2 linked regions of the Arabidopsis thaliana genome follow. The protein of the gene in region 1 interacts with the protein of each later gene in a pairwise test. Each region holds a gene or a part of one and is shown in the gene's direction. Other genes may lie near its edges.

The links. Proteins that work in one complex are often made in the same cells at the same time.
Region 2: the proteins of AT3G53310 (region 1) and HAT9 interact in binary tests that used the Arabidopsis thaliana proteins (3 or more experiments, as listed by UniProt).

Annotation. Positions count from the first base shown.
Region 1 is NC_003074.8:19,766,765-19,770,520, reverse strand, and holds the start of AT3G53310 (AP2/B3-like transcriptional factor family protein), read left to right. Parts: upstream 1-1,734; 5' UTR 1,735-2,152; coding exon 2,153-2,224; intron 2,225-2,624; coding exon 2,625-3,078; intron 3,079-3,161; coding exon 3,162-3,241; intron 3,242-3,339; coding exon 3,340-3,594; 3' UTR 3,595-3,756. Other genes in the region: AT3G53320 (mediator of RNA polymerase II transcription subunit-like protein), read left to right, coding at 1-74, 156-787, 936-1,124.
Region 2 is NC_003071.7:9,704,534-9,708,289, reverse strand, and holds HAT9 (Homeobox-leucine zipper protein family), read left to right. Parts: upstream 1-2,072; 5' UTR 2,073-2,241; coding exon 2,242-2,652; intron 2,653-2,756; coding exon 2,757-2,836; intron 2,837-3,007; coding exon 3,008-3,341; 3' UTR 3,342-3,658; downstream 3,659-3,756. UniProt on the Arabidopsis thaliana protein: Probable transcription factor.

The DNA of each region.
Region 1 (3,756 bases):
AACAACATCGACGAACAGGTCATCATTAGATATAAGCAAAACGCAACAAGAAAAGAATTCCAAATTACCTGCGGGTTAGTCAGAACTTGTTCTTAAAGAAGTTTACACTTGTTTTTTTAAAATTGAAATATATTGTATGACCTTGAATAGTACAGGTAAAGAGCCTCTGGGTCCAAGAATATCCATGTCGCGACGTGCTAAACCCGTCTTACCAAAACCTGGTGTGCCTTTTAAGTCTTCTTCACGTTCTTCAGATGCCTCAAAGAATGAAATGACCTCTTCATGTTCTTCACTAGAGAGCTGTGCCAGTGCTTCATCTAGCGCTTCTCACAAACCTTCTATAGATTCGATAAAGAAGAAGAATGATTCAAGTTCCAGATTATCTTCCCAGCCATTGGCAAATCGATCTACATCTAGAGGTATTATGGGCCAGCCAAGAATCCCACCCCAACAAACCAATAAGACATCCAAGCCCAAGCTTTCCTCCAGTGTACCAACTGCTGGTTCGATCAGTGACTATTCATCAGAGTCATCACGAGCTTCTGAAACTAGTAAAATGGCTAATGGTAACCAGAAAACAGTCTCTCGTGAAAAGGTTCCTGCAAATGATAATACAGTACAAACTGTGAAACCTCTCAAGAACTCCAAAGATACATCTGTTGTCCAAGCTGATGCTAAGGAAGGCACAAAACGAGTTTCAGCTATCAACGGTGGTTTGGTTCCTTCAGCTTCCGCAAAACCATCAGGTCTCCGTGTGCCATCACCAAAAATCGGCTTCTTTGATGGAGTAAGTCCCCAAAATTCATGAACAAACTAGAGACCAAATATGCAATTGTTGTTCCTTGAGATTGGAACCAACTGGCACAAGATCTGTTTCTGTCTGGAATCTGATCAAGTAAATGATGTCTCTATTTCTTTCTCTCTTTGTTAAACAGGCAAGACATGGATCATCTTCATCTGCCAGTAAGAAGTCTGGAGGAAAGACTCAACCTGCGAGGTCTCCAATACAAGAGTCGACGAATTCAAAAAGTAAGGCAAGTTCAAAGGTTGTCTCTGTCTCGTCTCCTAAACTGCCGAACAAATTGTATTCCAAAATCGATGCAGAAGATCAACTTGAGGGATGATGAGAATGAGATGCTTGAAGTTATCAATAGTTTTCTCCATGCAATGGAGCTTTCTTTTTTACAAATAGGAATTTCTCTGCATGTTAGATTCTTATGTATCCCATCCTCCAGAAAAAGGAAGCACATTATAAATTTGTGCGTAAAGAATCTTTAATCTAACGAGTTCTTGTATTATGAAATTTTACGAATTAATCTGGTTTATAAGATACTCTTTCTAATCGAAATGTAAATGGTTTAAATCTGAAAACAAAACAGTCCAATGAAGTATATAATAAGAACATGAAGTGAAAGATATATGAACGCAACAGTGGATAGAGTGGGCTACAATCTCACCATAGAAAACAGAACCAATCCCTGGCTTGCAGAGAATGATGTTTCATTCAAATCTATAAACAGAAGAACACGCAAACTTCGTTTTTCTTTTTGATAATTATTTCTCTTATTTACTGTATTAGAATATTGAATTCCTCACATGCATGCATTTTCTGTGTCATTTGTATAGATGCAAGAGTATTTGTGTGTTTGTTAGATAAATAATTATTTATCTAAAAAGCATTTGTAAACGTTTGAAAATATTAGCTTCACTTTAAAAACTTAAAGAGGTCTTGAATAACATTTTGGTTTATTGTTTTTTGTCAATTTAACAACGATAAGAGTTATTTTTGTTAAACGAAGATGAAAATGAGGAAGAAAAAAAAGAAATGAAAAAACAAAAAACAGAGGAAAGAGATGGAAATAGTCTCTGATTCGTAAGTACCGATCGAAAACAAGTTTCAGAAGTCAAGCACCAATTAGAAATCAGCTTCTCTTTTCTTTTTTACTAGAATTTATGGGTTAAACTGCAAAAATCATAAAGCTTTGAGATAGTACAGTACTCTGTTTTGTACAAGAACGCAGCAGAGGTCTTCTTTGACTCATTTCTCTCTCTCTTTCTCCTTTAAACTCTGAACCTTCAACGTTATCTTCCTCTCACTAGCTAAGAAACCCATTTCGATTCTCTCTCTCTCTCTCGTTTCCAACATCATTCCATGGCTGACGATAGCGAATTGTATCCTCGTTTCTTCAAAGTGTTCCTCGTTGAATCGGCTTCTGAATCGTTGGTAAGAACCTCTCTCTCTCTTTCTTTCTTCTTCCTTGTTTCTGTAGTAGGAAAAGTTTCAGACTTTGAATCTCAAGTATTAGTATGAAAGTTATGGCTTTATGAGAAAGATATAATCTTTAGCTAGTTTAGCAGTTGGGGTTGGGTTTACGGGTTTTCAATCTTTCTTCTGCTTCTAAACGGAAATGAGAAAACGAGCTGTGAAATTGGAAGTGATGAAAAACTCTGGATCTGTGTCTTTGTATCTCGTTCAATAAAGCATAGGTCAAAACTGTGACTGCTTAGCTTGAAACAGAGAGACTCTATGACTTTGATGACATTTTACTTGTGGAGTTGAGTTGAGTTTTGTTTTAAGTTGTAACAAGTAATCTGATGTTTGACATTTGTGTTTGGTTCATCAGATGATTCCGTTGCCTTTTATGGCATTTCTTGCTGATCCATTGCCAAAGACAGTGAAGCTCCAAGGTCTTGGAGGAAAACTTTGGACTGTGAGCTTGAAGAAAATAAGCGGAGCTGCGTATCTTACTAGAGGATGGCCAAAATTCGCAGAGGAACATGAGCTGAAGAACGGAGAGTTCATGACATTTGTGTATGATGGTCATCGTACCTTTGAAGTGAGTGTCTTTGATCGTTGGGGTAGCAAAGAGGTCAGAGCTGAAATACAAGCCATACCACTTTCTGATTCTGATTCTGATTCTGTTGTGGAAGACGAAAAAGACTCAACTGATGTTGTTGAAGATGATGATGATGAAGATGAAGATGAAGATGAAGATGATGATGGTAGCTTTGATGAAGATGAAGAAATCAGCCAGAGTCTTTATCCGATTGACGAAGAGACTGCAACCGATGCTGCAGGTTTGATAGTCTTTTTTCAAAAGTACATAAACATTGTTAATCCAAAAACACAATCTAATATACTAAAGATTGTTTTGTTTCAGTTTTTGAAGGGAACTTGGACGTGGAAGCTTTAACTAATCCACACTTTCCGACTACGCTCAAGAACAGGATTTATGAACTGGTAAAAGTGACGAATATAAGACTTCAGATTCAGTTACTATCTCTGTTTTACTTTCAGTATGGCTTTAACATGTTGCGGTGATTTTGTTTTGTGTGTAGTTGATCCCAGCCAATGTGGTGAAGGATAATAACCTTGAATTTGGTTCATCCATCAAGTACATCGATGGAGAAGGAACCTTAGTAGGGCTAAGAGGAAAATGGGCTGATAAGAGGGTTTGCTTCAAAGGATGGGACAGGATTTGCAGAAGGAACAGGCTCAAAAAGCACCAAGATACTGTCGAATGCGAGCTTCTTCATGATGACCAGAAGATGGTTCATTCCATCCGAGTCCATGTCTTGCGTAGAGATGCTTGATCCTCTCACCATTCACCACCACCACCATCACTCTCAGTCTATCACTATCGCCGTTCTCATCATCGCGATCACTATTATCATTATCATCAGTACTTTGACATGACTTCTTATTATGGCTTTTGTTTGTTTAGGAGTGTTCTTATGTTTCTTCTTAGGCTTTAT
Region 2 (3,756 bases), on another chromosome or scaffold:
GAGCTAAATTCATGAATATTTGCACAATGTCAAAGTCAGATTATACTAATATTCTATTAGAAAAATAGTCTAATCAAGTAGCAATGAGCACCAATTCCACGGTGCGACACCATATTAAAGTTTATAGTTAAAATTGATGAACTATTCTACTTTTTATCAATTTAATTAATATTCCTCAAAAAAAAATCAATTTATAATTAATATAAGATTATCCACGAACTTTCATCATTCTTAATTTCCTAGCATATTGATAACTCGTCGTACCTAGAAAAAGTCAAATGTTATACAATGATATGAACTGAAAAATCACATTAAGTTATAATTGGTATTTTTCATTGATTGAAGCATTAATATCGTGTGTGTGCTACTAGCAGAATTAGGGGGTAAAACAGAATTTCGTTAAGAAAATGCATTAATTAAAAAATAAGAAAGATATATATATATATACATATATATATATAAGAGTAGATTATAAATGAAAAAATAATTAAGGATTAAAAATAATGATAATAATAATATGTATAAGATGGGTAACCTAACTTTACTTGGACGGTCGACAAAAAAAAAAAAAAACTTTACTTGGACGAGTATAGCCGACAAATTCATTATTGGGAAGTGCCAAAACAAATAACAAAGCTGAGACCAAACCTAATGAAACGTTACACATAAACTTTCTTAATCCATTACTCCAAAGATTTTAGGTTATTGTTGACGAATCGTATTCACCCATATCATTTTTTTAGTTTCTACCCACTTTTATTGTACTTCTCCTTTGTGTGTTCTCTTGATAATTCTAATGTTACGTCAGGTAACCAAACAAAAAGTGATTTAAAAGGTGAGCACCCATTTTTTACAACTGTTTCGACCACATATTGCAATTTGAATAAAAATCGGGTAAAATAAACCTAACTACGGACTTAAGACTTTTGATTATATCTAGCGATATAGCTTGACCGAGTCTTAATTTGTGATGTAATGACTGCTCAAAATATAATAGTTTGAATTCCGGCTTTTAACACCATGCATGGTATAAATCAGTAACATTTGTTATCATGGTATAGTGACATTTATATATATAGTTGTTCTTATTTTAGTATTTTACCCTAATATATAAATATATTCGTACACTTTAGTTTCAAAATGATTTTACTTCCTTTTTTCTCTTATATGTTTTATTGGTACATCAGTTTATCTTGAAAGAGAAAGCGCGATATGATATATTATAAAACTCTAGGAAATACTTTGTAATCTATATAGATAACTGTGAGTTAAAGCTCGAGACTAATTATGGATGTAACGAGTTATTGGTACGGATGAATCACCTTGTTTAAAAAATTTCGAAAATAAAGTATATGCCTAAGCCTAACTCTTTCCAAAAAGTACTAAATTAATTGGTGAATGACATCAAGAGAACCAAACCTAAACAAGATGGTGGGGATCACTATCCATATGTATACGAAGAAAAAAAATAACTAAAATATATAATACATAATTAAATAAATGAATAAAACATCAAGGGCCAATGTGTTTCTATGATAAGGAAAAGGAGGCTGAAAATTAGTGGGTAAAAGTAAAACTGTCTTGTGGTCCGTTATTTAAAGGCACCTCTTAATCACTTTCTAATTACTATTCATACTAATTTCGTCTCTTTTTTTTTTTTTTGTCTACAATAACGTACGCTTCATGATAAAAATATTCATGATATAAAAATCTAAAATACCGATGCCGACTGAACCCAATGATACCAGAAAAAGAATGGAGAAAGCTTTAAATATAATATTTAATTTATATTCATGATACGATAATTCCATCTTCTACCAAATATAAAATCATTGAACTTTTTCGGGAACTTTTCTCTTATTAGTGGGAAGAATAGTAGCAAGTGCCAAGTGAGATGCTCATTTGGTCAACCTTTGCAAGTAAGAAAAATAAAAGTAGAGAGAATTGTGCCATCATAATTTCCCACATTATTTTTTTTTTCTTTCAGGAAAAGAATTACCAAGAAAATAAAATCATTTCTTTAAAATAATATAAATCATTCCTTTGATTAATAACTATTAGCCATCCACCCACCCATCAATTTCTTAAAAATATAAAATAAAAAAAATACTTTTCTTCTCCTTCTTAAGAAGCCCCATTGGCTTCATCTCCTCCCATTATCTTCTAAACTCATTTCCTTTTCCTCTCGAAATCTCAAAGATAGATAAATTTTAAAGGCATATTTTTTTCATTTCGACTCAGATGGGTTTTGATGATACATGCAACACAGGTCTTGTTCTTGGATTAGGTCCCTCACCAATTCCAAATAATTACAATAGTACCATCAGACAATCCTCCGTTTACAAGCTCGAGCCGTCGTTGACTCTATGCCTCTCGGGCGATCCCTCGGTTACCGTGGTGACCGGAGCTGACCAGCTATGCCGTCAGACGTCATCTCACAGCGGAGTCTCTTCTTTCTCAAGCGGGAGGGTGGTGAAAAGAGAGAGAGACGGTGGCGAAGAGTCGCCGGAGGAGGAAGAGATGACGGAGAGAGTTATAAGTGATTACCATGAAGATGAAGAAGGTATTAGTGCTAGAAAAAAACTTAGGCTTACGAAACAACAATCTGCTCTTCTTGAGGAAAGCTTCAAGGATCATAGCACCCTTAATCCCGTAACTACATATCCTTAATCCTAATTCTTTTTTATTATACGTTACTAATCACTTTTGATAATTCTTATCCAATCAGATTCTTTGTTGTTATATTTTATTTACAGAAACAAAAGCAAGTTCTGGCTAGACAGCTGAATCTAAGGCCTAGACAAGTTGAAGTATGGTTTCAAAATAGAAGAGCCAGGTAAAAAAAATTATATTATAAATTATCAGAATATTTGATTTTTTCATGTGTCAAAATTTCTTTAATAGTCAGAAAATTTTGTAGGTGAAAATATTTTCTATTTTTTAGGTGATATGATTTTTCTTTCGGTTATATATATTTAATTATTTATTTTATTTAATGAATGAGCAGGACAAAGCTGAAGCAAACAGAAGTAGATTGTGAGTTTTTGAAGAAGTGTTGTGAAACATTAGCAGATGAGAACATAAGACTTCAGAAAGAGATTCAAGAACTCAAAACCCTAAAATTGACTCAGCCCTTTTACATGCACATGCCTGCATCGACTCTAACGAAGTGTCCTTCTTGTGAGAGAATCGGCGGCGGCGGCGGGGGTAATGGAGGAGGAGGTGGCGGCAGCGGGGCTACCGCGGTGATTGTAGATGGAAGTACGGCCAAAGGAGCTTTCTCTATCTCCTCAAAGCCTCACTTCTTCAACCCTTTTACTAACCCATCTGCAGCTTGTTGAATAGTAGTAATTCGTTTAATTTTATTACTTAAAATATTAATTTTCTTTTTTTTTTGGGTGGCATTTTAACTAGTAGGAAGAACACAAAAACTATGTTAGAAAGGGTAAGATGCGTATAGATGGTCTCTTCTACAATTCCCACTTTGTTTTTCAGTGGGATTGCTGGTTTGAGAAAAAGAATAGTTTGTAATTATTATTTTATTTGTAGAAAAAGGTAAAATAGTCTTCACTTTAATTTATACATCTTATTTTCTCACCTTCAATTTTAGTCAAGTAAATCATGTTTGTAATAAATGAAAAACTATTTAACAATATAATTATACATGGGAATTTTTCATGCATACTAATGATCAGCCGATGATTACTTTCATCATTTTGTGTTTAGATCTTAAGGGGCTGTATTGTTCATAAAAAA